Linked DNA regions of Anolis sagrei. The protein of the gene in region 1 purifies or fractionates together with the protein of each later gene. This does not show direct contact. Links are inferred from orthologs where the notes say so. Each region holds a gene or a part of one and is shown in the gene's direction. Other genes may lie near its edges.

What was found.
Region 2: the proteins of PTGES3 (region 1) and URI1 purify together in Homo sapiens (affinity purification with mass spectrometry; 3 studies listed by BioGRID and IntAct, with this or other methods). This does not show direct contact. The link is inferred for Anolis sagrei from reciprocal best matches to the Homo sapiens genes PTGES3 and URI1.
Region 3: the proteins of PTGES3 (region 1) and SMYD2 purify together in Homo sapiens (affinity purification with mass spectrometry; 3 studies listed by BioGRID and IntAct, with this or other methods). This does not show direct contact. The link is inferred for Anolis sagrei from reciprocal best matches to the Homo sapiens genes PTGES3 and SMYD2.
Region 4: the proteins of PTGES3 (region 1) and FKBP5 purify together in Homo sapiens (affinity purification with mass spectrometry; 4 studies listed by BioGRID and IntAct, with this or other methods). This does not show direct contact. The link is inferred for Anolis sagrei from reciprocal best matches to the Homo sapiens genes PTGES3 and FKBP5.

Annotation. Positions count from the first base shown.
Region 1 is NC_090022.1:137,197,326-137,204,823, forward strand, and holds the start of PTGES3 (prostaglandin E synthase 3), read left to right. Parts: upstream 1-4,480; 5' UTR 4,481-4,815; coding exon 4,816-4,817; intron 4,818-7,498. UniProt on the Homo sapiens protein: Cytosolic prostaglandin synthase that catalyzes the oxidoreduction of prostaglandin endoperoxide H2 (PGH2) to prostaglandin E2 (PGE2).
Region 2 is NC_090028.1:40,036,977-40,044,691, forward strand, and holds the start of URI1 (unconventional prefoldin RPB5 interactor 1), read left to right. Parts: upstream 1-4,699; 5' UTR 4,700-5,056; coding exon 5,057-5,107; intron 5,108-7,715. UniProt on the Homo sapiens protein: Involved in gene transcription regulation. Acts as a transcriptional repressor in concert with the corepressor UXT to regulate androgen receptor (AR) transcription.
Region 3 is NC_090021.1:33,551,205-33,558,846, forward strand, and holds the start of SMYD2 (N-lysine methyltransferase SMYD2), read left to right. Parts: upstream 1-4,633; 5' UTR 4,634-4,722; coding exon 4,723-4,907; intron 4,908-7,642. UniProt on the Homo sapiens protein: Protein-lysine N-methyltransferase that methylates both histones and non-histone proteins, including p53/TP53 and RB1. Specifically trimethylates histone H3 'Lys-4' (H3K4me3) in vivo. The activity requires interaction with HSP90alpha.
Region 4 is NC_090024.1:186,143,896-186,151,518, reverse strand, and holds the start of FKBP5 (peptidyl-prolyl cis-trans isomerase FKBP5), read left to right. Parts: upstream 1-4,621; 5' UTR 4,622-4,687; exon of another isoform or gene 4,688-4,855; intron 4,856-7,623. UniProt on the Homo sapiens protein: Immunophilin protein with PPIase and co-chaperone activities. Component of unligated steroid receptors heterocomplexes through interaction with heat-shock protein 90 (HSP90).

The DNA of each region.
Region 1 (7,498 bases):
TTTATTTATTTATAATTTTTGCCTGCTTGGAAATAATGGGCTTGCAAAGGGCATGTTACAACAAACTGAGGTCAAACCTAGAATTCCCTGCTTTCAAGCTGATCTGACCTGCAGCAGGGAGTTCCTCAGTTCTCTATTGTCCCACTTGGGCCAGCCTCCATGAATGTGGCCACAGCAGCAGCTCCAACCCAGAAGCCTTCTTATTACTTCATTTTCTTCCCCTTCCTAACACTGTAACTAATCCCCCCAATAAAGTACCAATTAATTGTATTTTTTTCTCTCTCAATAGTGTTACTTTGTGTCTTTTACTGCCTCCAAACTCGTCTCAGTATAAATCTTTCCTCTCCCAGGCTGCAGATGGCTGCCAGCCTGCCCAGGATGCAATTTTCACGTCCTGGGGAGGCCAAAACTGCGTTCCTCTGAACGGTAGATACGTAAACCCATTGGGCCCCTGTATCCGTGAGTCAACGGATCGCTTCAAAATCAGTGCCATTCTTCTCCGGGGGAATTCTAAGATTAATGGCTATCTCAGTTTCGCTCCACTAAGCCTTCCGCCCCGGGAATAACAATTTTTGCCTCCAAAACCTCAAACTGGAGCCCAGCTGTTTCCCTGAAGATACTGCCTCGTTGCCACCATTTTATGGATGCCCAGTGAGCCTGCCGATCCTGGAAAACTGTCGCGGTCACCCCATAGGATACCCAAGATATCAGCAGGCCGCCTTGGTCCTTGGTGAGGAAGGATCTGTAGTTCTCTCCGTGGATCTTGATCTCCAGTGCTGGCAGTCACCTCATAAGAACTCTGACTCTGGGGCACCTTTTCCAACTTGCCTCCTGTGGATTTTACAACTTTTATCAACTTTTAAAACATTTTGGAAACTTTCTGGAACTCTTTCCCCAAGCCCCATGGACTCCCTTTTATGACTTAGGGACTATATGATTTCATGATATTGGACTCTCTATGAACTTCATGATATTGGACTCTCTATGACTCTCTATATTAATTTCCTTTTCCCCCTTTTCCCCTGTGCATGCTGTATGAACCCCATATATGTGTCTATGTATAAAAATATGGAAAGCCACTTTTTCGTGACCCCAGCATGGCAAACCCTTGGGAAATTCCTATTTCCTGAGATGAATTCCCCATTGACTTAAGGACTCCAACAAAGATTTATTGCATGGCAATAACAATGGTGCATCCTGGGTCTCGGAGCATGACCGCCCAGGAAGGCACCCCATGGTGAACCTGGTCACTTGTCAACAATGGGACATTTTGCCTTCAGGGAAGATCAGGATGTCCCATCCGACTCACTCATTGTTTTGCACCCTCGGCTGAAATCCACACACAGATATCATCAATTGATCCCATATCCTTAACTGAAGATTATCAAGGTTGGGCAGCTGTGCCAGCCACTTTTGTATATTTCAACACTACTGGACAATACCAGGCCATCTTGAGGAGTGTCCGGATTATTGCCGGCCATCGGACAAACCATTAAGTTCCATTTAATCCACTCATTTTCCTCTCGGTTAATTGTTTTCCTGCTTGTATCGCCTCCTCGACTTCCATTGGCTCAGGAGCTGAAGCAGTGCTGGCTTCTCCATTGGCTGAGGCGTGCCTAAGCCGGCCGCACCTCCCTCCAGCTGATGACTCCAGCCAATCAGCGCGAAGCCAGCAGAGGGGCAGGGGGCGGGAAGTTTGAATCTGACAACTCTGTATTTTCTATAAAATGTACCCTTTTCTCCCTTCCCAAACATGTCGACTTTGGCAAGAGATTGCGGTTTGACATCTGTACCAGCTGGGACAAAATAAATACAACTCGGTGGCTTTTCTTCAACTTGGTGAGACTTTACTTGGGAAAAATTAGGGAAAAATCTGGGGTGCTTCACTTGTCTCGCCAGGGCTCCGGACTCTCCTTGTTGAGTCTGATTTTGAGACCCTGAGAGGTGATTATTGTGTTGTTGAAGGCTTTTGTGGCCGGAATCACTGGGTTGCTGTGAGTTTTCTGGGATGTATGGCCATGTTCCAGAACCATTATCTCCTGATCTTTCATCCACATCCATGGCAGGTATCCTCAGAGGTTGTGAGGTACATTGGAAACTAGGCAAGTGAGGTATCTATATCTGTGGAATGTCCAGGATTGGAGAAAGAGCTCTCGTCTGCTTGAGGCAGGTGTGAATGTTGCAACTGGCCACCTTGATCTGTATTTAATGACCTTGCAGCTTCAAAGCCTGTCTGCTTCCTGTCTGGGGAATCCTTTGTTGGGAGGGGTTATCTGGCCCTGGTTTTCTGTCTGAAATTCCCCTTTTTTTAGTGTTCCTCTGAATGTATTGTTCTGATTTTAAAGTTTTTTAATACTGGTAGCCACATTTTGTTCATTTTCATAGTTTCCTCCTTTCTGTAACTGCAAATGTCTACTGTATACCATGCAGTTGTGGACAAGTCTACATAAGGACCCCCAAATGCAGCACCCAAACACGAATGAAACAATCAGGGCCAGCTAACAAAGTAGGGATATGGTTATCCCTCAGAAATGTCAACATGCTGGATAATCAGGTTTTAAAAAACATTTCATCTATCTGTTTTACTTTCCTTATTCTTTCTCCCTCCAGTTTGTAATGTATTCTCTGGCTTGAATCCCGGTCTTGTGTTGGGAACAGTGTTCATGAATAATTCTGTGGTGAGATTGGAACTGTTTTTATAATACCTTTGGAAACAGACAGACTGACTGCCGGCTTTAGCAGACACACCTAGAATATTGACTACTGCATCTAACAATATACTGGTACATTGTGAAGCACCAATAAGGACTAAATGAAAATGTCCTTGGAGAAAAACTCATGATCTGAAGCATGTTGTTAGGTCCATGTCTCTAACTGTATCTCTATCTACTCAATAATGTATATTTTATGCTATTTTAAAAACAATTCTGCTTTATTTCACTTCTGAGTTTTTGTGTGGGTCACTCAATGGATCAAACACAATTTTCTTCCTTTTTTCTGCAGCAAATCAACATAGTGCACACAATGTCTTCTAGAACAGTGTTTCTCAACCTGGGGGTCGGGACCCCTGGGGGGGTCACGAGGTGGTGTCAGAGGGGTCACCAAAGACCATCAGAAAACACAGTATTATGGTTGGTCATGGGGGTTTTGTGTGGGAAGTTTGACCTAATTCTATCGTTTGGTAGGCTTCAGAATGCTCTTTGATTGTAGGTGAACTATAAATCCCAGGAACTACAACTCCCAAATGTCAAGGTCTATTTTCCCCAAACTCCACCAGAGTCCACATTTGGACATATTGAGTGTTCGTGCCAAGTTTGGTCCAGATTGATCATTGTTTGAGTCCAGGGTGCACTCTGGATTTAGGTGAACTATAGCTCCCAAACTCAAGGTCAATGCCCATCAAGCCGTTCTAGCATTTACTGTTGGTCATGGTATTTCTGTATGGCCAGGTCTGATAGAATTCCATTGTTGGTGTTCAGAAAGCTCTCTGATTGTAGGCGAACTATAAACCCCAGGAACTACAACTCCCAAATGATAACATTAATCTCCTCCAACCCCACCAGTATTCAAATTTGGGCGTATCAGGCATTTGTGCCAAATTTGGTCCAGTGAATGAAAATCCATCCTGCATATCAGATATTTACATTACGATTCATAACAGTAGCAAAATTACAGTTATGGGGTAGCAACGAAAATAATGTTATGGTTGGGGGTCACCACAACATAATGAACTGTATTAAGGGGTCGCGACATTAGGTAGGTTGAGAACCACTGTTCTAGAAGGTTTTCATGGCCGGAATCACTGGGTTGTTGTGTTTCCTGGGCTATATGCCCATATTGTGACAACCTCTGAGGATGCCTGCCATAGATGCAGGCGAAACGTCAGGGGAGAATGCTTCTGGTATATGGCCTACAGCCCGGAAAAGACACAACCCAGTAGTGCACACAGTGGCTTTGAATATGCACTTGATTGTTTGAATGCACACAAAGCATCAGACATAAATGATTATGAATATTCAACTTCACCAGCAGAATTAATTTTCTCACCTGGTTGACAATTTATAGGGTGGGGGGAGGCAAATATCAAGAACAGGCTCGTCTTCTTCTACGGCGCATGCGCCGGAGTGTGCTTGGAAGCTTGGCAAGCCTAGAGAGAGGGAGAACATGCGCGAAAAGTGCAACTACGCATGCGCCGGGGGTGCGAGCCGGCCCGGCCCAACGGGCGGAGGCGCCTCGAGAGAACGTGCTCGAAAGATGGAATTGCGCGTGCGCAAGGCAGAGGACGAGGGAGCGCATGCGCGAGAACGAAACATCCGGCCGTTTGTGGTAGGTGCGCGCCGTTGAGGAGGGCGAAGCGGCAAGGAGGTGGCGAGTGGTGCGCATGCGCCCTTGTCAGCGTCCATAGTCGGACGGGCTCCAGTGGGAGGGAGAGAGAGAAAGAGGGAGGAAGGAAGGGAGAAGGGAAGAGGGAGGGGTGGGCGTTTTGCTGCGTCACCAGCTTCTGGGGAGCCGTCGTTGGAGAAGGAGCGCGAGGGAGCCAGGGAGAGCGCGCGCGCGGGCGGGTGAGCGCGCGGTGCTTTGTGGGTAGCAGGCCTCACTCGGCTTTTGAGCCTGGAGAGGGAGAGAAGGAAGGAGGCAAGGAAGGAAGGAAGGAGGCGCCGTTGCCCTCGCCCGCGCTTTCTCGCCCTTGCCGAGGGACCTTCAGCCCTGCGCCCTTGGGAGAAGAAGGCTTCCCCGGACTAGCTCTCTGGAGGGAGACGGAGGACAGAGCGGAGAAGACTCACGCCGCCGCCGCTGCTGTTAACACCGTTTGCCATGTGAGTGAGTGAGGAGGGGTTGGCAGAGCAATGGCTGGGCCAGGAAGGAAGGAGGGAAGGCATGAGGGCAGCAGGCGTCTCCTGAGGACGCCGGGGCGGGAGATGGGCCGGGTTCTCTTATTCATATCGACAGGCTGCACGGATCCGGCATCCACGGGTTCAAACCCCACACCCGCCCAGTTTGAAAATATTCCAAGGGAAAATATTCCGGGGAAGGAGGATTAGATGGTCGAGAGATCATTGCCGGGCCTCTGGTTGAGTACTATTTGTATTTCGGCTTTTTTTTGGTCCACACCAGCCCAGTGACCTCATCTGACTATATAACCAACCCACACCGTTTCGTGAACCCTTGCTGGTTGGGTTTTGTGAACCCTTGCTTGCTGGGCTCACAAAACTAATGTGGATATTTTGTTTAGATTTATGTTATTTTAGATTTTTGCCTACTACATATAGTGTAATTTGTTGATGTCAGGTATAATGTACTGATGTTAGGTTTTAATATTACTTTTATATGTTTAGATTTTATTATATGTTATGTTTTTAATTGTATTTAAAATGATATGATATGATATTGGACACCATTTACTTTTTTTTCACACATAACATGAACTTATTTCTTATATATAATGTATATGAAATCCCCCTTTGTGACTTTAGGCTATCTCATATATCAGTCATACACACACACATATATATGTGTGTACACATATATGTACATATTGGTATTTAAAGAAAGCAGATAGTGTAGGATTTTCTGCCTTTATATTCTGGGTTATATGGCTGTATGGAAGGGCCCTGGGAGAAGGACCCCTTCATGTGGAGATAGTTTGTTCTCCATCTGAAGAAAACCCTTGGGGTTTTACAGAGCACTCTCATTTTCTATTAAATACACTATCAAATCTTTATACTGGAGAGTATGAGATGTTTCTTTGAACACAGCCTGAACAAATCTGGGCCATGCAACTGATGGGCCCAAAGGATACAGGAGTTAAAGGTAATGGTTAGGATAAAATCTGGCAACAGGCGATTCAGTTGTCTCGTGGAGTAAATTAAAACATGTGCTGAGAGATGGGAAATGGTTGCTGGTCTAAGTTGTGACCCAAGTTTTGTTGTGAGTTTGAAAAGAGGGTTGGAGTCACTTTCTTTTGAGGCTCCCAGAGTGAGAGATGAAGTCAGGAGAAAAGGGGACAAAGAAAAGCAAGGTGCAAAATTAGTGAGAGAAGATACCAGTGCAGCATATGAGGCTAGAAATTGAATTAATGTGGTGTCCTAGAAATGTTACTTTAAAAACATGGATTATTTATTTATTTTTATCCCAGCTTAGAATCAAAAACATTACAATTTAAAATATACTATAAATATACTATAATTAAACAGTATATTTATTTATTTATCGTGTCAAGAGCGAACCAAAACAGGTGTATTGCATTAAAAAACAAAAAAACACAGACTTGGTATTCTATTAAATGTCATTTGACCACTAGCTGGCCAATTGGAGTGCCTCTGGTGTTGCTGCAAGAAGGTCCTCCATTGTGCATGTAGCAGGGCGCAGGTTGCATGGGAGTAGGTGGCCTGTGGTTTGCTCTTCTCCACACTCGCATGTCATGGATTTAACTTTGTAGCCCCATTTCTTAAGGTTGGCTCTGCATCTCATGGTGCCAGAGCGCAGTCTGTTCAGTGCCTTCCAAGGTGCCCGGTTTTCTGTGTGCCCAGGAGAGAGTCTCTCATTTGGTATCAGCCATTGATTGAGGTTCTGAGTTTGAGCCTGCCACTTTTGGACTCTCGCTTGCTGAGGTGTTCCAGCGAGTGTCTCTGTAGATCTTAGAAAACTATTTCTTGATTTAAGTCGTTGGCATGCTAGCTGATACCCAAACGGGGTGGGCCGGAGATGTCACTGCTTTGGTCCTTTCACTATTGGTTACTACTTCCTGGCAGATGTCAGGTGGTGCAATATCGGCTAAACAGTGTAGTTTCTCCAGTGGTGTAGGGCGCAAACACGCGATGATAATGTGGCATGTCTCATTAAGAGCCACATCTACTGTTTTAGCATGGTGAGATGTGTTTCACACTGTGCATGCATACTCAGCAGTAGAGTAGCATAGCACAGGGATAGATGTCTTCACTGTATCTGGTTGTGATCCCCAGGTTGTGCCAGTCAGCTTTCGTATGATACTGTTTCTAACATATATTATATATTATCAGTAGTAATTATATTTAATATATTAGTATTACAATATTATATATATATTATTAGCACACTGCAATATTAGTACTATATAGTACTGTATTGTACTATGCCACTATACTGCAATTTTATTAGTAATATTACATGTAATATATAATATACAATTGTTATAAGATTGTAATAGTTTTTCAATATTCCTAACCATATCTAATTAGTTGAGAGACCAGTATTTAAAACTGAGAGAAGAGGACTTGTAAAATAATTGGTGAAGTATGGATGAAACATGCCTATTCCTATTAGGATAATAATATCACTTGTTGAATAACAAATATGTTAAAAAACGTGAGGAGAAATCTACACTTGGCAAGAGTTTCATTAAAGGTTTAGAAACAAGCAGAAGTTGATGAAATTCTTCACACAATGGATCTATTCGTTGGAGTGATTTTTCAGTAGCAACTGTAAAATTGGGAGTGTATGGATAATGTGTTCACAACAG
Region 2 (7,715 bases), on another chromosome or scaffold:
AGAGCTTTGTAGACTTCCAGGAGAAAAGAAGGAGTTCAGGTTGCTGTGATGGCTGGCTGAAGTCCCTCAGCAGAGGAGCTGTAAGGCTGTATGATCCTCGGCCAAGCTGTGGGGCTGTATAACCCCGGCCAAGCTGTAGGCTGTATATCTCCCCGGCCAAGCCGTAGAAGACTAAGCTTTCTACAGGAGCTCTTGGTTTTATGTCCTGTGTGAAAGGCTTCTCTGTGTGGACTGACTAAAATGGTTCCTCTCTCTTCCCAAAAATCCAGAAAAAGGGGCGGAACCAAAGCTAAATGAAGATGGACAGGGGGCTTGCCCTATGACTGCAAACTATAACAGGAAGCCACCCTGCTGCAAAATCCCAAGCCTGGGATTGCAAACAAACATTTAATTCAAAGCAAATAAAATTGGAGCTCCTGGAACAGCTGTTCCAGAACACCCATTGTAATGTTGTTTTTAACTAGTGTAATCTATATAAATAAAAATACAGTTAGTTTGTAGGATTAACATAACTCAAAAACCACTGGATGAATGAGTGAGGCCAATGAGTGAGCATTGCTCATAAAAACACTGAAAAACACAGCAGAAGGGACTTAAAGAGCCAAAAAAGCAAAAAGATGCTACAGTGCATGTGCAAAAACAACTCCCTTGGCAAACAAAACACACAATAGTATATCCACACTCTCTTCCATACTACAGCTCCCAGTATCACCTAGACCAGGCCCTTTAGGAGAGGAGGATGATCCAAATGCACTGCTTCCTAGATGTAAGCTTGCTTCTTGGATTTCTTTGAGAGCATCCCAATCCTTGCATATTTCCAATTTCCTATTCCTGGACTGCAACTCCCAGCAATCCTCCAGATAGATAGGAAAGGTTCTCAACCTTCCTAATGCCATGACCCTTTAATATAGTTCCTCATGTTGTGGTGACCCCCAGCCATAAAATTATTTTTGTTGCTACTTCATAAATGTGATTTTGCTACTGTTATGAATCGTAATGTAAATATCACATATGCAGGATGTATTTTATTCACTAGACCAAATTTGGCACAAATACCCAATATGCCCAAATTTGAATGCTGGTGGGGTTGGGGAGGGATTGGTTTTGTTATTTGAGAGTTGTAGTTGCTGGAATTTATAGTTCATCTACAATCAAAGAGCATTCTGAATTCTACCAACAATGGCATTGAACCAAACTTGGCACACAGAACTCCCATGACCAACAGAAAATACTGGAAGGGTTTGGTGGACGTTGACCTTGTGTTTTGGAGTTGTAGTTCACCTACACCCAGAGAGCACTGGAGACTCAAACAATGATGGATCTGGACCAAACTTGGCACAAATACTCAATATGCCCAAATGTGAACCCTGGTGGAGTTTGTGGAAAATAGATCTTGACATTTGGGAGTTGTCATTGCTGGGATTTATAGTTCACCTACAATCAAAGAGCGTTCTGAACCCCACCAACGACAGAATTGGGCCAAACTTCCCACAGAGAACTCCCATGACCAACAGAAAATACTGTGTTTTCCTGGTGGTCTTTGGCGACCCCTCTGACGCCCCCTCGCGACCCACCCAAGGGTCCTGACCCCCAGGTTGAGAAACGCTGGATTAGATAGAGATAAGTAGGTAGGTAGGTAAGTAGGTAGGTAGGTAGATGGATCAGGAGGACTGCTGGGAGTTGCAGTCCAGGAATAGGTAGAAAAGGAAGAAAGGGGAGAAAGGGGAAGGAAAAGAAAAGGGAGGGAAAGGAAGGGAAGAGAAGGAAGAAAGGAGAGAAGGAAAGAATAAAAGGGAAGGAGGGAAGGTTGTATTCAGTATTATTACATTCTGTGTTTTTCTTTACATTTGTATTTTTTGTGTCTCAGTTTTGGGAGAAAGAAATGACATAAATCAAGCCCAATCAAATAAAAAATAAATAAATCAGAACATGTGATTGTTAGCCCACAAAAAGCCATTTTTGTTTTACAAAATCTGTTAAATAAACGTAGAAATAATGAGAGAGCCTGCAGGTTAATGGGAGTAAACAAGGCTGGGAAATCTGATACAAGACGTACCTCCGTTCCACTCCCACGACTCATAATCCATTATGAAAAAGATGCCAAACTTGATAGAAGGATGAATGTGTAGATGAATATAACATGTCTGATTTCACTGGGGTTATTCCCGTTCCTCAACTGAAGGACCGCAAGCACTTGAGGAAAATCAACATTAAATTCCGACTAGATTTGAGGTTTTGGGAAGCCATAGGAAATGTTGATTTCAAAGTGCACTTTCTAGTTGCTTTCACCTAAAGTTATATAATGACGACTGATCTTGTATATATTTTAGAAAGAAGTTTACAGGACACAAGGCTCCTGGCATAATAACTCTCAATGCTTTGCTATTACAATTCAGGCTGCAAATTTGGGGTGTTATGAAAGAGGCATTTGTACTTCCAGAGACGGGGAGATCCTGGGATTTTCCGCCTCCCCTTTGAAACCACCTCAATTTTAGTTCTCTGCACCATGAATTAGAGCAGTATTTCTCAACCTGGAGGTCACAAGGGGGTTTCAGAGGGGTAGCCAAAGGCCATCAGAAAACATATACTTCTGATGGTCTTAGGAACCCCTTTGGCAGAGGAGGCTGAAGATCTCTCCACTTGCCCTTCTCTTCCTTTTTGGAAACAGACCGTGAATCCTCCCATCAGCTGGCCTCTCAGCCAAGGGGAGGGCTGTTTCTGAAACTCTGAGCAGGGAGAAGAGAGCAGGTGTGCTCGGCACATAGCACCATAGTAAACATGTGTAGGCGAGGGAGAGCACGTGAGGCTGGAAGGCAGGCTCGCACCAGCAAGTCCCTTCAAGACATGGGGGTTCTGTGTGGGAAATTTGGCCCAATTCTATCGTTGGCCATCTGTCGGGGATGCTTTGAATGCGATTTTCCTGATTCTTGGCTGAATGGGGTTGGACTGGATGGCCCACGAAATGTCTTCCAACTCTAGGATTCTATGAGTTGAAGTCCAAAACATCTGGAGAGAAGAGCCAAATTTGCCCACCCCTGCTTTAAAGGAAGGCCTGCTTTAATATTTCATTTCAATGGGTAACTTCCTGACTGTGATAGCTGTTCAGCAGTGGAACTCTGCCCCGGAGTGTGGTGGAGGCTCCTTCTTTGGAGGCTTTGAAACAGAGGCTGGATGGCCATCTGTCGGGGGTGGTTTGAATGCAATTTCCCTCCTTCTTGGCAGAATGGGGTTGGACTGGATGGCTCACGAGGTCCCTTCCAACTCTAGGATTCTAACTTCTGGACTGTGAGAGCTGTTCAGCTGTGGAACTCTCCGTCCTGGAGTGTGGTGGCGGCTCCTTCTTTGGAGGCTTTTAAACAGAGGCTGGACGGCCATCTGTCGGGGGTGCTTTGAATGCGATTTTCCTGCTTCTTGGCCAAATGGGGTTGGACTGGATGGCCCACGAGGTCTTTTCCAACTGGAGCAATGGCTTCCAACTACAAGAAAGGAGATTCCATCTGAACATGAGGAAGAACTTCCTGACTGTTAGAGCTGTTCAGCAGTGGAACTCTCTGCCCCGGAGTGTGGTGGAAGCTCCTTCTTTGGAGGCTTTTAAGCAGAGGCTGGATGGCCATCTGTCAGGGGTGCTTTGAATGAGAGTTTCCTGCTTCTTGGCAGAATGGGGTTGGACTGGATGGCTCACGAGGTCTTTTACAACTGGAGCAATGGCTTCAAACTACAAGAAAGGAGATTCCATCTGAACATGAGGAAGAACTTCCTGACTGTGAGAGCTGTTCAACAGTGGAACTCTCTGCCCCGGAGTGTGGTGGAGGCTCCTTTTTTGGAGGCTTTTAAACAGAGGCTAGATGGCCATCTGTCGGGTGTGGTTTGAATGCGATTTTCCTGCTTCTTGGCCAAATGAGGTTGGACTTGATCGCCCACGAAGTCTCTTCCAATTCTATGATTCTAACTGACTGTGAGAGCTGTTCAGCAGTGGAACTCTCTGCCTCAGTGTGGTGGAGGAGCCTTCTTTGGAGCTGTTAAGCAGAGGCTGAATGGCCATCTGTCAGGGGGGATTTGAATGCGATTTTCCTTCTTCTTGGCAGAATGGGGTTGAACTGGATGGCCCACCAGGTGTCTTCCAATTCTATGATTCTAACTGACTGCGAGAGCTGTTCAGAAGTGGAACTCTCTGCCTCAGAGTGTGGTGGAGGCTCCTTCTTTGGAGGCTGTTAAGCAGAGGCTGGATGGCCATCTGTCAGGGGGGATTTGAATGCGATTTCCTGCTTCTTGGCCAAATGGGGAGTGTGGTGGAGGCTCCTTCTTTGGAGGCTGTTAAGCAGAGGTTGGATGGCCATCTGTCAGGGGCGATTTGAATGTAATTTTCCTTCTTCTTGGCAGAATGGGGTTGGACTGGATGGCCTCTTCCCTGAGGTCTCTTCCAACTCTAGGGTTCTATGAGTTGAGTCCAAAACACCCGTTTGAAAGGAAGGCCTGCTGTAATATTTCCTTTCAACTGGTAGGAATTGTGGGAGTTGGAGGCCTTTTGAGGCCTGAGGAGGCGCCAAAATGGCGTCCTTGTGTTTTGGACTTCATCTCCCAGAAGCCCTAGTGCTGGAACGACGCGGCTGAGGCTCATGGGGGTTGTAGGCAGAATAAGGAGGAGGAGGAGGCGGGGAAGAAGGGGGCGTGCCTGTCTCCCCGCTCTTCCTCCCAGAAGGCAGCGCGGCGCCTGGCTGGGCCTAGGAGGAGAAGGACGAAGAGAAGCCTCGGCATTTCCTGAGCGCGGCGTCGGCGAGGCCTGGCTCGGGATGCGAGTGTGAGATGCGTCTTCCACCGGCGGCGGCTCTCGGCTGGGCCCCCTCGGCGCCCTCCATGAAGCTCCGGAGCCGGCGCTTGGCCCTCCACAAACACTTCTATAGGACTCAGGCGCCTTGCTGAAGAGGAGACAGAGACAGAAGAGGAGCCCCTTGGAGTGGAGAGAAGCCGAGGACAACTGCGGGAAAAAGGGCCCAAAGGAGCCCCAGAGACAGGCCTCCCTCCTCTTCAGAGGGAGAAGGAGGAGGAGGAGGAGGCCATGGAGGGCCCCGGGAATCAGTGGGGCCGCGTGAGGGAGCAGCACGGCCAGGTAAAGAGGAGAAGGAGCGGGAAAAAGGCAGCGAGGAGAGGCAGGACCTTGTCAGTGGTGGCCCCTCGCTTGTGGAACTCCCCTCCCTAGCGACATCACAGCAGCCCCCCTCCCTAATTAAGAGGAGGAGAAGGAGCAGGAAAAAGGCAGGGAGGAGAGGCAGGGCCTTCTCTGTGGTGGCCCCTTGGTTGTGGAACTCCCCTCCCTAGCGACGTCACAGCAGCCCCCTCCCTAATTAAGAGGACGAGGAGGAGATGGAGCGGGGAAAAGGCAGGGAGGAGAGGCAGGGCCTTCTTTGTGTTGGCTCCTCGGTTGTGTAACTCCCTCCCTAGCGACGTCACAGAAGGCCCCTCCCAAATTAAGAGGACGAGGAGGAGAAGGAGCGGGAAAAAGGAAGGGAGGAAAGGTAGGGCCTTCTCAGTGGTGGCCCCTCGGTTGTGGAACTCCCCTTCCTAGCAACGTCACAGCAGGCCCCCCTCCCTAATTAGCCTTCAGGAAAAAGGAGGAGGAGAAGGAGCGGGAAAAATGCAGGGAGAAGAGGCAGGGCCTTCTCTGTGGTGGCCCCTCAGTTGTGGAACTCCCCTTCCTAGCGACGTCACAGCAGCCCCCTCCCTAATTAAGAGGACGAGGAGAAGGAGGAGCGGGAAAAAGGCAGGGAGGAGAGGCAGGGCCTTCTCAGTGGTGGCCCCTCGGTTGTGGAACTCGAGGAGGAGAAAGAGCGGGGAAAAGGCAGGGAGGAGAGGCAGGGCCTTCTTTGTGTTGGCTCCTCGGTTGTGGAACTCCCTCCCTAGCGACGTCACAGCAGCCCCCTCCCTAATTAAGAGGACGAGGAGGAGAAGGAGCGGGGAAAAGGCAGGGAGGAGAGGCAGGGCCTTCTTTGTGTTGGCTCCTCGGTTGTGGAACTCCCTCCCTAGCGACGTCATAGCAGCCCCCTCCCTATTGAAGAGATCGAGGAGGAGAAGGAGCAGAAAAAAGGCAGGGAGGAGAGGCAGGGCCTTCTCAGTGGTGGCCCCTCGGTTGTGGAACTCCCTAGCGACGTCACAGCAGCCCCCCTCCCTAAATAAGAGGACGAGGAGGAGGACATGTTTCATTGCACTATCTATATAAATAAAAATGCAATGTTCATTTATGGGATTAACATAACTCAAAAACCACTGGACGAATTGACACCAAATTTGGACACAAAACACCTCTCAGGCCAACAAGTGACCATCACTCATAAAAACACTGAAAAACACAGGGGAATAGACTCAAAATGCTAAAAATTAAAGAAAATGCATACCAGCGCATGCACAAAACCACATTTATACACATATACACACACATATACACAGACTGGGCTACAGCAACGCCTGGCAGGGGATGGCTAGTGTATATATATGTGTGTGCGTGTGTGCATATGTAGATGTGTATCTATGTGTATATATTTGTGTGTTTATATGTGTATATGTATACTGTGTATATGTGTGTGCTTGTCTATATGCATAATTGTGTGTATTTATGCGTGTATGTATGTGCATACATGTGTATATGTATATATATATGTGTGTGTATGTATATGTATGTGTGTGTATATTTGTGTGTGCTTGGGTGTATATATATATATATATATATATATACACACACACAAATATACACGTGTGTGTATGTATGTGTGTATGCGTATAGGATTGTATGTATATATGGTGTATTTTGGGGGGTTTAAGTCCATTCTACTGGGAAGGGGGTGTTTTTAGGGGTGATGAACACTCGTTGGACTGTTAGGTATATTTTGTCAAAATTTTGTGTCAAGTCGTCCAGTGGTTTCTGAGTTATGTTAATCCCACAAACTAACATTACATTTTTATTTATATAGCTTAAAATAATAATAATAATAATAATAATAATAATAGTAAATTTTATTTATACCCCGCCACCATCTCCCCCAAAGGGGACTTGGGGCAGCTTCCATGAGGCCAAGCCCGATAATACATAACAGCAAAATGAATACAAAACAAAAATATCATCACAATAAAATAAGTAAAACATAAGAGTAAAATAAAACAGTGCAAAATAAGAAGATGAAAAATCAAACACAATAGGCGGGCCAAATGTAAGACATAAAATGATAAAACACTGGATGAGATAAGAGTGGAAAAAGGTATATATGTAAGGGAGGAGCTAATAATCATAATAGGAGCTAATAATAATAATAATATTACCAACAGCTGCATAAGACCACCATACTGGGATCTGCACACATTATTCGCCGATACATCACACAGTCCTAGACACTTGCGGAGTGTTCGACTTGTGATTCTATACAACAGCCAGCAGAGTGAGCTTGTTTGTTGTGGACTCATCTTGTTGTGCTTCTAATAATAATAATAATAATACATTATTTATACCCTGCCACCATCTCCCCGGAAGGGACCCGGGGCGGCTGACATGAGGCCAAGCCCAAAGATACAATACAGCAAAATAAAATACAAAACAACAAAAATTACATCAGAATAAAATACATACAGTAGCACAATAAAATAAATGAAGCCAAATAACATAATGGAAAATCAAACACAATGGGCGGGCCAAATGCACAAGATAAAATGATAAAATCCTGGATGAGGTA
Region 3 (7,642 bases), on another chromosome or scaffold:
GGGGATTCCTGTGAAAATCAAAAACATTAGCTAGAAGTGGACTTGTAATAGCATTGGAAGACCTGGAAATTCCTACAGAGGACACCTCTCTTATGTTTCCCCTCATGACTAGAGTAACTTAATCATATAATTGAACTAAAGGACCTAGATTTTCTTAAAGAACATTTTAATGAAATCCATGACCAATCAAATATGCAAAAGTCAAAACCCTAAATGTACACACAGACAAACCCATACATATATACAGGGCAAACTGCTTTCATGCTTTACATTGTTTTTATTATAATATGTATATTTATGCTTGTTTTTCTCTGTTGTTGGCACTGTGCTGTGCTGGTTGTTAGCTGCCCTAAGTCCCCCTGCGGTGGTTGAGATAGGACAGGATATAAATGCCTTAAATAAAATAAATAAATAAATAAAATGTGCCCTAAAATGTATGCAACCTTGTTATTGAATATATTTCTGTGTGTATGTGTGTATATGTGTGTGTATGTATGCGTATGTGTGTGTGTAGATGTGTGTGTGTGCACAGACACATACCTATATACAGATTTATACACTTTGTTATTGTATAACTCCTATGTGTATATGTGAATGTATGTATATATATATATCTATGTATATATAGGATTGTGTACACTGGAATGTATACAACAAGGATGCATACCTTTTAGTGAACACCTTGTATTATGACAAGAGTCCAAAAATGTTGGCAGCTAGGATGACACACACATATACATACATATATACTTATACCTACATACCCACACAGGGCTAGCTGCCCATATTTCTGCACTTTTTGTCCTGTCCCTTTAATTTTTTCCCCCTTATACCACTTGCTTAATGTCAATCTGGTCTCCTTTCTGAGCGAGGAGCTGGACCCCATCTACACAGACCATTTAATTTAGTTTCAAACCAGTATTGAAGAAAGTGGTTTCGCTGTGCAAATGATTACACCAGAAATCCTGGAATCAGTTTGGGGCCCCAGATGGTGATGACATGAGCACCACCTATGCTGCCATATAATGCAGTTTGAAACTACCTTATATGGCCAGTGTAGACTCATAATACTGTTTAAATGGATTGAACCACACTGTGAGCCTACACTGACTACATAATGCAGTTTCAGGTTGGTGTAGATTCATATAATGCCATTTAAATGCACTGAACCACACTTTGAGCATACACTGACTACATAATACAGTTTCAGGTCAGTGTAGACTCATATAATAACATTTCACTGCATTGAATAGCACTGCGCGCCTACACCGACTTCATAAAGTAATTTCAGGTGAGTGTAGACTCATATAATGCAGTTGAACAGCATTATGAGCCAACACTGACTACATAATGCAGTTTCAGGTCGATATAGACTCATATAATGCCGTTTAACTGCATAGAACCGCACTGTGAGCCTGCACTGACCACATAATGCAGTTTCTGGTCAGTATAGACTCATGTAATGCCGTTTAACTGCATTGAACAGCACTGTGAGTCTACACCGATGACATAAAGTAGATTCAGATCAGTTTAGACTCATATAATGAAGTTGAACAGAGTTATGCGCCAATACTGACTACATAATTCAGTTTCAGGTTGGTGTAGACTCATATAATGCCATTCAACTGCATTGAACCACACTGTGAGCCTACGCTGACTAAATAATGGAGTTTCAGGTCAGTGTAGACTCATAAAATGCCGTTTATCTGCACTGAACCGCACTGTGCGCCTATGCTGACTAGACTACATAATACAATTTCAGGTTGGTGTAGACTTATAGAATGCCATTTAACTGCATTGAACGACACTGTGAACCTACGCTGACTACATAATACAATTTCAGGTTTGTGTGGACTCATATAATGCAGTTGAATAGCATTATGAGCCAACACTGACTACATAGCACAATTCCAGGTTGGTGTTGACTCATATAATGCCATTCAACTGCATTGTGAGCCTACACTAACTACATAATGCAGTTTCAAAACTCCATTACATGGCAGAGGAGATGGAACCGCAAACCATGAAGCACTGAAGCGTTTCATTTTGCACTCTTTTGTGGGTGTTTCTTGCTCTGTGGCCCCATCTACAATGGCATATAATGCAGTTGAACAGGACTGCATGAATCTAGGCTGCTATATCGTTCACCCAGACTCAGGGCCCTTCCACACAGCCCTATATCCCAGAATATCAAGGCAAGAAATCCCATATTATCTCAGTGTGGACTCAGGTAACCCAGTTCAAAGCAGATATTGTGGGACTTTCTGCCTTGATATTCTGGGTTATAGGCCTGTGTGGAAATCCCCTCAGGCACCATAGGAAGCAGCTTTGCACAGGAGTTCAGACAATGCGGTTTGCAGCTAGCTTCAAACTGCATTGAATGCATGGTCAGCACAGACGAGGTGGTGATAGTACAATAGCTGGGTCCGAAAGCGCCAAGTGTTATGGAGATGCCCCAATGGCGACTCTGAATAAGGGAAGAGAAGAGGCGGAGTGAGAGTAGGGAGAGCAAAGGATAAAAAGCGGGGGGTGCTTAGGGTAAGGGTTGGGGTAAGGTTTAGGGTTTGGGTTATGGTTAGGGTAAGGGGTTATGGTTTAGGGTAAGGTTTAGGGTTTGGGTTAGCATTCAGAGTAAGGATTTGGGTAAAGTTTAGGGTTTGGGTAAGAGTTTGGGTAAAGAGTTAGGCTTAGGTTTACAGTATGGTCCAGGGTGATAGTAAGATAGCTGGGTCTGGAAGCTCCGAGCATTACGGAGATGCCGCAAAGGCGGCTGTGAATAAGGGAAGAGAGGGGGCGGAGTGAGCATGGGGAGAGCGAAGGAAGGATAAAAAGGAGGGGGTGCTTAGGGTAAGGGTTAGGGCAAGGTTTAGGGTTTGGGTTACGGTACAGTTTAGGGTTTGGGTTAGGGTATGGTTTAGGGCAGGGGTCCTCAAACTAAGGCCCGGGGCCCCTCCAAGGTCATTTACCCGGCCCTCGCTCAGGGTCATCCTAAATTTGAAATGACTTGAAAGCACACAACAACAATCCAATCTAATCAGCCAAAAGCAGACCCACACTTCCCATTGAAATACTAATAAGTTTATATATGTTAAAATTGTTCCTCATTTTACTTTTTGTATTGTTTTTAAGTGGTTTTTGCACTACAAATAAGATAGGTGCAGTGTGCATGCGAATCCTTTTTTTTACTTCAAATTATAATCCGGCCCTCCAACAGTTTGAGGGACTGTGACCTGGCCTTCTGTTTACAAAGTTTGAAGACCCCTGGTTTAGGGTTTGGGTAAAGGGTTAGGCTTATGGTACAGTTCAGGGTTAGGATTAGTGTTATGGTAAGGGTTAGGGCAGGCCCGTAACCAGGATTTTGTTTCGGGGGGGCGGGGGGGGGGGGCTGAGTCTGAGTGAAAGAGGGTCTAGCCTAGCAAACCTTTTGTATCATTACCCCAATACCCCCATGCAAATGGGATATATTGAGTATGGTGGTCAGATCATGATATGAATAAACATAACAGTTTAAATAATGTACCAGTAAGAACGTTTCGCGAACCACCATGAGAATTTGGGGGGGGGGGGGGGGCTGAAGCCGGCTACCCTCAGGGGTCCCGACCACCAGGTTGAGAAACACTGGGTTAGGGCAAGATTTAGGGTTTGAGTTAGGGTTTTGGTTAGGGTAAGGTTTAGGGTTTGTGTAAGGGTTTGGGTAAAGGTTAGGGTATGGTTTTGGGTAAAGGCTTAGGCTTACGGTACGGTTCAGGGTTAGAGTAAGGGTTATGGTAAGGGTTAGGGTAAGGGCTTCACCGGGATTGTGGTGCAGCTGGCTGAGTGTCAGCTGCATTAAGATCACTCTGACCAAAAAAAGGTCATGAGTTCGAAGCCAGCCCGGGCTGGAGTGGGTGTCCAGCCATTGTGTAGCCCGTTGTCGACCTTTGCAACCCGGAAGACAGTTGCATCTGTCAAGTAGGAAAATAAGGTACCACCTTGTGTGGGAGGCTAAATTTAACTAATTTATGAGGCCATAAAGAAAAAAGACTCCGGGGAATGTGGAATGCGGAAGAACTTCATCGGTGTCGTTGATGGATGATGAAAAGCAGCAGCTCCCCTGGCGGCCAGAAAAAAGTTAAATAGCCTCAGTGTATTTGTGTGTTAAATGTTGTTTGTCAAACTGGCATTGAATGTTTGCCATATATGTGTTTACTGTAATCCGCCCTGAGTCCCCTGCGGGGTGAGAAGGGTGGAATATAAGAACTGTAAATAAACAAATAAATAAATAAATTAAAGAACTCCTTCATTCCTTCTATAGTATCTGTCTCCGGCCTGGCTTACATTAGCTAAGGCTCTCTTCCACAAACTGCGCTCCCGAAGGAGCGATGCGGCCTCTCCGTAACGCTCTGCACTTCCAGACCCAGCTATCATACTATTACCGACGAGGCCTACGCTTGACCTAGGCGGGGATGGAAACGCTGGGTCCTAGAGCGCGCATGTCTGCGGACGGGCTCTAGGACCCAGCGGGCTGGCGCGGCCCTCCTTCCCGTGGACGGCTGGCTGTGGTGCTGCTGCTGCTCCGCCTGCCCCTCTCGCTCTCTCTGCCCATGTATGTGCCTTGGGCTCTGGGGCCAGGCGCCGCTGCGGGTGACGGCGCGCCATTAATAGCAACGGGCCAGCCTCCTCCTCCTCCTCCTCTTTCTCTTCCTCGATCTCCTCCTCCTCCTCCTCGGCGGCACCGGCGCCATGCGCTCCTCCGAAAAGGAAGGCGAGGAGCTGGGTCTGGCGCGCTTCCAGAGCCCCGGCCGAGGCAGGGGTCTCCGAGCCCGGCGCCGCTTCGTCCCCGGGGAGCTGCTCTTCGCCTGCCCGGCCTTCACCTGCGTCCTCACCGTCAACGAGAGGGGCAACCACTGCGAGGGCTGCTTCGCCAGGTAAAGGCAAGGAAGGCGAGGAGAGGGAAGGAGCAGAGGCCGGCAGGAAGCCTCGGCCTGGGCGGCGTCAGCGCCCCAGGATTTCCCCCCGGGTCCTAGCGCCGGCATCCTCCATCTCAAGTGAAGGGCTGCTGCGGGATGAATGCGTCCTGGCTGACACTCTTCTTCCCTGCTCAATGCTCTTGGCACCCTGGCCAGTTATAGTTTGGCCTGGTAAAACTGCAACCCCCATAGCATTGAGCCCCATTGGTGTCAAGCTGCATTAACTCCCCAGCAGGCCTGCATAAACTGAAGCCCTTCCAGGTGTTTGGGGCGCCAATTCCCAAACACCCTTGTCCAATAGTGAGGAATTCTGGGAGCGGAAGTCCAGCAAAACACATGGAGGGCTACAAGTTGGGCAGGCCTGCTCTACAGTGTAGATCAGGCATGGGCAATATTCAGCTCTCCAGGTGTTTTTGGACTGCAACTCCCACAATTCCTAACAGCATAGGACAGTGGTTCTCAGGAGCCCCCAGTGGTGCAGTGGGTTAAACCCCTGTGCTGGCAGGACTGAAGGCCGACAGGTCGCAGGTTCGAATCCAGGGAGAGGCAGATGAGCTCCCTCTAACAGCTCCAGCTCTTCATGCAGGGACATGAGAGAAGCCTCCCACAAGGATGATAAAAACATCAAATCATCCAGGCGTCCCCTGGGCAATGTCCTTGCAGACGGCCAATTCTCTCACACCAGGAGTCACTCCTGACATGACCAAAAGTGGTTCTCAACCTGTGGGTGCCCAGGTGGTTTGGCCTACATCTCCCAGAAACCTCAACCAGTTCACAAGCTGTTAGGATTTCTGGGCGTTGAAGGCCAAAACATCTGGCAACCCACAGGTTGAAAACCATTGACCTACACTGTTAGGAATTGTGGGAGTTGAAGTGCAAAACACCTAGAGGACTGAAGTTTGCCCATGCCTGATGTGGAAGATGAATTCACCCTCTCAGCCACAGAAAACTCCATCATAGGGTTGTTCTGAGAGGAGGCACACAATAATATGAAGAACAACACACCCTATGCGGGGTTTGTAAGTGATTGTGTGAGTTCTGCTTCCATCCATTTCCTTTCTCCAACTTCTTTGCCATGTTTTGCATGCAGTTTCTTTGTGTTTTGAATCATCCAATGCGGAATTAAAACCCATCATAATCTTATCATTGATTATTTTCATCTATACACACAGAAACATGGATGAAGCAGGACATGGGTGCATCTACGCTGTAGAAATAATGCATTTTGACACCACTTTAAGTGCCATGGCATCATGCGACGGAATCCTGGGAGTTATAGTTTGGTGAGGCACCAGCAGACTTTGGCAGAGAAGAGTCAAGTCCTTGTAGAACTGTAACTCCATTGATTTCATAACATTGAGCCATAGCAGTTAAAGTGGTGTCAAACTGTGTTAATTCTACAGCGTAGATGCACCCATGTCCTGCTTCATCCATGTTTCTGTGTTGTTGGTTTTTTTTTCATGTCAGGAGCAACTTGAGAAACTGCAAGTTGCTTCTGGTGTGAGAGAACTGGAGACTGCAAGGACATTGCCCAGGGGACACCTGGATGTTTTGATGTTTTACCATCCTTGTGGGAGTTTCCCTCATGGGGAGCTGGAACTGACAGAGGGAGCTCATCTGCACCCTCCTGAATTCGAACCTCCAACCAGTCAGTCTTCAGTCCTGCCGGCACAAGGGTTTAACCCATGGCGCCACCAAGGGCTCCTTACAGTGCAGATGCACTCATGGTTGTTCGAGCTGGTTGTGTCTATTATTTGGGAATGTAGGAGAAAATGTGCACGGAAAACTGCAATTGAGTACTAAAGGCCTTAATATCTCAATAAGATTGTCCTTTCTTCCAGGTGTATATGTATGTGGCAGTGCAGGAGATAGTTTCAGCAACAAGATATTGCCATATTGTGAACTGTAAATACACTAAAAGCAACAAATTCTGTCTGATCTTGGTTCCTAAGCAGGATCAGCTCTGGTCACATCTTGAATGAGAAACTGATAATGAATATCAATGACTGCAATATCTCAGAAAAATAATACACAATCAGCCTGCTGTATCCATGGATTCGACCATCCATAGCTTTAAAATGGAAGCACCCCGTGGCGCAGTGGGTTAAACCGCTGAGCTGCTGAACTTGCTAACTGAAAGGTTGCAGGTTCAAATCCAGGGAGCAGCATGAGCCCCCGCTATTAGCCCCAGCTTCTGCCAAACTAGCAGTTCAAAAACATGCAAATGTGAGTAGATCAACAGGTACTGTTCTGACAGGAAGGTAACAGTGCTCCATGCAGTCCTGCCAACCACATGACTTTGAGCCAGTGTTGTCTACGGAAAACACTGGCTCGGAAACAGCTGGACTTAATGTCAGTGGAAAATCTTTATCTAGCTTGAAAAATATCTTCCCCCCCCCCCCCCCCCCCGGCAAATCCCAAAAGCAAATCTTGATTTTGTCTTTTTATATAAGGGACACTATTTTACTATGTCACTGTATAGTATGGGACTTGAGCATCCACAGATTTTGGTATCAACAGCAGGCCTGGAACCAAACCCTAATGACTCACAGTATTGTGAGTTGTGCATACTGCAAAGGCCCCAGATCCAGTCTCATCTAGGATGCTGAACAGGATCAGCACTGATTATCACTTGGATGGGAAACTACCAATGAATACCAGCTCAAAAAAGCATCTGTCTTCTTGTTTTCACC
Region 4 (7,623 bases), on another chromosome or scaffold:
CCCTTCCAGTATTTTCTGATGGTCATGGGAGTTCTGTGTACTAAGCTTGGTTCAATTTCATTGTTGGCGGAGTTTAGAATGCTCTTTGATTGTAGGTTAACTATAAATCCCAGCAACTGCAACTCCCAAATGACAAAATCAATCCCAAAACTCAAGGGTTTTCTGTTGGTCATGGGAATTCTGTTTGCCAAGTTTGGTTCAACTCCATCATTGTTAGAGTTCAGAAAGTTCTTTGATTGTAGGTTAACTATAAGCCCAGCAACTACAAACTCCCAAATGACAAAATCAGTCCTGTCCCCACAATCCCACCAGTATTCAAATTTGGGCGTATTGGGTATTTGTGCCCAATTTGGTCCGGTGAATTTGAAAATACATCCTCCATATCAGATATTTACATTACCATTCATAACAGTAGCAACATTACAGTTATGAAGTAGCAACAAAAATAATGTTATGGTTGGGGGTCACCACAACACGAGGAACTGTATTAAAGGGTTAGGAAGATTGAGAAATACTGCATTTGTGATCTCATCACACTAGAGAATGAATCTAATTTAAATCCAGTTGCTGCCTCCTGCAGAATTCTGGGGTTTGTAGTTTAGGGAGGATACTTTAACAGCCTCGCTAAACTACAAACCCCAGAATTTTGCAGGAGGCAGAAAGTGAATTTAAACTGGATTCATAGTGTGATGAAGTATTAGGTGAATCTAGAATGAATGCAGATGGACATCACTCTCACTGCCATGGCTCAATGCTATGGAATCCTGGGAGTTGTAATTCTATCCCTTTTAACTGCAAGAGCTCAATGATTTGGAGTTTTACAAGGCCTCCCTTGAGTCTTGTCAAAAAATGCTGTTGCCACCCTAAACGACAACTCCCATGATTCCATTGAGGCACTGAGAGCATAATAAGCATTCATTCTAAGGTGTAGATGCCCCCAAGGCAAGACCCACGACTCCTACTCACCTTTCTAGGTTCTTCGACCACAGCTTCCTCAGGGATGACGGTTTAGTATTCCTTTCCGTGGGGGAAAGGGCCCCTCTAGATGCCCTCTCCGGTTCCCCTTCGCTTTGCTGCCTTTGTGCGTGTAAACACTGGAGCCGCGCGGCTGAGTCTTGGCCGAGAGAGAGAGAAAAAGATCAAGGTTTCGTAACACACGGCGGACCTTCCCGGAAAAACAAAGAAAACATAAACACTCGGGGCGCAATCCACGCCGAGAAAGAGAGGGAGGGAGCCCTCGGGCCCTTGTACCCATCCGGAGAAAGGTGGGACAAAAACACAGCCCATGAACCCAGCCACACGAAGAGCACGTTTTCATCTACACTGTGGAAGTTCAACAGTTTGACACCACTTTAACTGCCATGGAATCCTGGGAGCTGTAGTTTGGTGAGGTCTCACTACTCTTGCCCCCGCCATGATTCCATAGCATTGAGCCATAGCAATGATAGTGGTGACAAACTGCATTCATTCCACAGTGTAGATGCACCCTCAGTCTGCATCCATCCATGTTGACTTTATTATACTGTATGCAGTTATTTGCCAAGGCTCAATGCTATGAGTTGTAGTTTTACAAGGTCTTTAGGCTTTTCTACTGGTGCCTCACCAAACTCCCAATATTCCACAGCACTCAGTAAAGTGGTTTCAAAGTGTGTTAATTCCACAGTGTAGATGCAACTTCAGTCCGCATCCATCAATGTTGACTTTATCATACCGTTAGTATGCAGTTAATTGCCATGGCTCAGTGCTGTGAGTTGTAGTTTTACAAGGTCTTTAGGCTTCTCAACGGGTGCCTGATCTAAGTACAACTCCCAGTATTCCATGGCACTCAGTAAAGTGCTATCAAAGTGTGTTAATTCCACAGTGTAGATGCACCCTCAGTCTGCATCCATCCATGTTGACTTTATTATACTGTTAGTTTGCAATTAATTGTCATGGCTCAGTACTATGAGTTGTAGTTTTACAAGGTCTTTAGGCTTCTCAATGGGTGCCTGATCTAATTACAACTCCCAGTATTCTATAGCTCTCAGTAAAGTGGTATCAAAGTGTGTTAATTCCACAGCGTAGATGCACCCTCAGTTTGTATTCATTCATGTTGATTTTTTATACTGTTATGCAATTAATTACATTGGCTCAGTGCTGCGAATTGTAGTTTTACAAGGCTTCTCAGCAGGTGCCTGATCTAACTACACCTCCCAGTATTCCATGGCACTTAGTAAAGTGGTATCAAAGTGCATTAATTCCATAGTGTAGATGCACCCATCCACGTTGACTTTATTATACTGTATGCAGTAAATTGCCATGGCTCAGTGCTCTGAGTTGTAGTTTTACAAGATCTTTAGGCTTCTGTACTGGTGCCTGATCTAACTACACATTCCAGTATTCCATAGCACTCAGTAAAGTGGTACCAAAGTGTACTAATTCTACAATGTAGATGCACCCTCAGTCTGCTTCCATCCATACTGACTAGAAAACAGGATGATTCTCATGGAGCATCTACACCAGGCATGGGCAAACTTCAGCCATTCAGGTGTTTTGGACTTCAACTCCCACAATTCCTAGCAACCTACCAGTTGTTAGGAATTGTGGGAGTTGAAATCCAAAAGACCTGGAGAGCTGAAGTTTGCCCATGCCTGATCTACACTGTAGAATTAATGCACTTCAACACCACTTTACTGAGTGCTATGGAATACTGGAAGTTGTAGTATGGTGAGGCATCAGTAGAGAAGTTTTAAAATCTTGTAACACCTTGTTAAACTACAACTCATAGTATTGAGTCATGGCAATTAACTGCATACAGTCTGAATGGTCAGGTTAGGAGAAGAGAGGCACTGTAGAATTAGTGCACTTTGACACCACTTTACTGAGTGCTATGGAATACTGGGAGCTGTAGTTTGGACAGGCACCAGTAGATAAGGCTAAAAACCTTGTAAAACCTTGTTAAACTACAACTCATAGTATTGTGTCATGGCAATTTACTGCATACAATCTGAATGGTCAGTCATTCGGGTTAGGAGAAGAGAGGCTCTGTGGAATTAAGACAGTTTAATGCCACAGATGCAGATTGAGGTGGCATCTCTGCAGTAAAATTAATGCACTTTGACACCACATCAATGAGTGCTATGGAATACTGGGATTTGTAGTTTGGACAGGCACCAGTAGAGAAGGCTAAAGACCTTGTAAAACTACAATTCAGAGAATTGAGCTAGGGCAATTAACTGCATAACAGTATAATAAAGTCAACATGGATGGCTGCAGATTGATGTGACATCTACACTGTAGAGTTAACACACTTTGATACCACATGGCTGAGTGCTATGGAATACTGGGTGTTTGGTGAGACACCAGTAGAGAAAGCCTAAAGACCTTGTAAAACTACAACTCATAGCACTGAGCCATCTACACTGTAGAACCAATACACTTTGAAACCACTTTACTGAGTGCTATGGAATACTGGGAGTTGTAGTTTGGTGAGGCACTAGTAGAGAAAGATGAAGACCTTGTAAAACTACAACTCATAGCACTGAGCCAGGGTAATTAACTGCATAACTGTATAATAAAGTCAACATGGATTATGCAGATTGAGGTGGCATCTACACTGTAGAATTAACACTCTTTGAAATCACTTTATTGAGTGCTATGGAATACTTGGAGTCAGGCCCGTAGCCAGGATTTCGTTTGGGGGGGGGGCTGAATTTTTTTCAGGGGGGGTTTCAGGGGGGGCTGAGTTTGGGGGGGGGCTGAGTCTGAGTGAAAGAGGGTCTAACCTAGCAAACCTTTTGCATCATTACCCCAATACCCCCATGCATATGGGATATATTGAGCATGGTGATCAGATCGTGATATGAATAAACATAACAGTTTAAATAATGCACCAGTAAGGCCTTTTCGTGAACCACCATGAGAATTTCGGGGGGGGGGGGGGGGCTGAAGCCCCTCAAGCCCCCCTCCCCCTGGCTACATGCCTGCTTGGATTTGTAGTTTGGTGAGGCACCAGTAGAGAAAGCTGAAGACCATGTAAAACTACAGCTCATAGCACTGAGCCAGGGCAATTAACTGCATAACAGTACAATAAAGTCAACATGGATTATGCAGATTGAGGTGGCATCTGCACTGTAGAATTAGCACACTTTGATACATTACTGAGTGCTATGGAATACTGGGAGTTATAGATTGGTCGGGCACCTGTAGAGAAGGCTGAGGACCTTGTAAAACTACAGCTCATAGCACTGAGCCAGGGCAAGTAACTGCAAAGGAGTATAATAAAGTCAACACGGATGGATGCAGACTGAGGCTGCATCTACACTGTAGAATGGAGGCAGTTTGACACCAGAATGCTTTCCACAGTGTTATAAAGGATGTGAGGCGCAGGGGAGAGGACACGTGTCTTCATTTTGCACCGAGTAAGTGACACGCGAGTTCTATCCCACTCCAGAGACAAGTTGGGACCCCTTCCCTCAGGCAGCGGGTTGTGAAAAAAGGAAGGCGGTGCCATGTTTTCACACAAACACACACAAAAGGAGAAGCGGCCAATGGCGGGGAAGCGGTACCCGGACGGACAGGGGCGGGGGCCAATGGGAGCGCGAGGCGGGGCTTCACCCGGGGGGGACTGGCGGCCAGCGCCGGTAGCGGGTGTCATTCTCGGCAGGAGCCACAGAGGGAGGAGGAGGAGCGGCGGGGCGAGGAGCAGGTACCCGTGGGCCATTGGCTGCCTTCCCGGCTCCGTGGAGAGGAAGAGGCGCGCTGGTTCCCAAGGGGAGGGGGCCCACCTTGTGCCCAGAGAGCGCCTTCCCCCCTCGCGGTATCAGCCCATCCATAACTCTTCCAAGAGGCGTCGTAGGGAAGCATTGCTATCGCTGTGAGTGAGGAGGAGACGCTGCTCGTAGGCTGAGGAAAGGGGGAGCAAGGCTGGAACTGGAGGGGGAAATGTGATACCATACTACGCTTGGGATAATAGATCCATCTCTGCATTGTCGAAGGCTTTCATGGCCGGAATCGCTGGGTTGCTGTAAGTTTTTCGGGCTGTATGGCCATGTTCGCTCCTGAGACCTCACAACCTCTCGGAGGATGCCTGCCATAGATGCAGGCGAAACGTCAGGAGAGAATGCTTCTGGAGCATAGCCAGACAGTCCGGAAAACTTCTACAACCCAGATCCATCTCTGCTTCTTCCCCTTCCTGCTTTGCATGTGTTGTTGTGTTCTGTACTCCGTGTGTTTTCTGTTCTTCCCATTGTACAAACTCCACGTTTACCACGGAGGGAAAAGTTAATGATGTCTTGTCGAAGCTTGTTGTGAGTTTTCCAGGCTGTATGGCCATATTCCAGAAGCATTCTCTTCTGTCGTTTCTCTCTCTTGTTTTGGTGACTTGAGAAACTGCAAGTCGCTTCTGGTGTGAGAGAATTGGCCGCCTGCAAGGACATTGCCCAGGTGATGCCAGGATGTTTTGATGCTTGACCATCCTTTGTGGGAGGCTTCTCTCATGTCCCTGCATGGGAAGCCAGAGCTGACAGAGGGAGCTCATCCGCGCTCTCCCCGGATTCGAACCTGTGACCTGTCGGTCTTCAGTCCTGCCGGCACTGTACCACCAGGGGCTCCTGACTTTTCTCTCAGGCAGTAAGAAGCCAGAACTTGAAACTGCTAGGCCATTCAATGTTAATCAAGGTGGCCAATGATCAAAGGCCTGGAGACTATGAATCCCTATGAGGAGTGTCTTGAAGAGCTAGGGAATGTTTAGCCTGCAGAAGAGAAGGCTGAGAGGAGATAGTAGCCATGTATAAATATGTGAAAGAGTGCCATAAGGAAGAGGGAGTAGGCTTCCTATCTTCTGCCCTGGAAACTAGGACTCGGAGTAATGGGTTCAAATTACAGCAGAGGAGATTCCACCTGAACATTAGGAAGAACATTCTGGCGGTATGAGCTGTTCAATAGTGGAACTCTTTGCCTTGGAGTGTAGTGGACGCTCCTTCATTGGAGGCTTTTAAACAGAGGCTGGATGACCATCTGTCAGGGTTGGAAAAAGTGGATTGAATAATAGAATTATAGAGTTGGAAGAGACCTCGTGGACCATCCAGTCCAACACCCTGCCAAGAAGCAGGAAAATTGCATTCAGAGCACCCCCAACAGATGGCCACCCAGCTTCTGTTTAAAAGCTTCCAAAGAAGGAGCTTCTACCACACTCCAGGGCAGAGAGTTCCACTGCTGAACAGCTCTCACAGCCAGGAAGTTCTTCATAATGTTCAGGTGGAATCTCCTTTCTTGTAGTTTGAAGCCATTGTTCCGCATCCTAGTCTCCAGGGCAGCAGAAAACAAGCTTGCTCCCTCCTCCCTATGAATTAGTCTCACATATTTATACATGGCTATCATGTCTTCTCTTGGTCTTCTCTTCTGCAGGCTAAACATGCCTGGCTCTTTAAGCCGCTCCTCATAGGGCTTGTTCTCCAGACCCTTGATCATTTTAGTCGCCCTCCTAGATGGCCCATGTGCTCTCTTCCAACTTGTATTATTCTAATTGAAACATTCACATCTCCCTCTAACAGACAAGAGTTCTTTCTCCCACCTTGGACCTTCCACGGATATTTAAACCCCATTTTCCTAGTTTCCAACAAACCTCACAACCTCTGAGGATGCCTGTCATAGATGCAGGCGAAACGTGAGGAGAGAATGCTTCTGGGACATGGCCACACAGCCCGGAAAACTCACAAAAACCCAAAGTTAATGATGTTGTGATGAGCCGTCCTCTCTCTTCCTCTCTCTCTCCTCTTGGTGCCTCATCTTCATTATGTAAGGAGGAGGTGGAGAATAACAGGCTTTTCTCCCCTCCTTTTGAGGGAATTTCAGATCTCATATTACTTTCTCTCTCCCCCCCCCCCCCCCCTTCTTCATATTGTCAGGAAATTGAAAAGATAGCAACCAGAGGTTGGTTGGTTTGTTTATTGGAGGGAAAAGAGGCGTTTTGTTTTCCCCATTCAAACCCGCCGTCAGCTAACTCCGTGGGCTTCCCAAGCAGACCTCACAACCTCTGAGGATGCCTGCTATAGATGCAGGCAAAACGTCAGGAAAGTATGCTTCTGGAACATGGCCATACAGCCTGGAAAACTCACAGAAACCCGGTGATTCTGGCCATTAAAGCCTTGGGAAATACATCTTTTGTAGTTTGTGGGTCAATGTATAACACTTCTTGATGTCATACAGGTAGTCCCCAAGTTACGGATAAGATAGGTCCTGTAGGTTTGTTCTTAAGTTGAATTTGTATGTAAGTCGGATTTATTTACATTTGTAAGTGTAACTCCAGTCTGTCTGTATGTCTGTCTAGACAAGGCTTGGGCAAACATGAGCCCTCCAGGAGTTTTGGACTCCAACTCCTACCATTCCTCACAGCCTCAGGCCCCTTCCTGAGGCTGTGAGGGCCTGAGGCTGTGAGGAATGGTGGGAGTTGGAGTCCAAAACACCTGGAGGGAGGGGCGAAGTTTGCCCATGCCTGGTCTATAAGCTTTGGGCAGTATACAAATAAAGTATTATTATTATTGAAAAATTGGTTTGTTGTTGAAACAGGGATTGGTGATAAAGCTTCAATTGAGACTCCTTTTCCCCAGGATAACTCTTCCAAGAGTGATTTTCCCTTCCAAG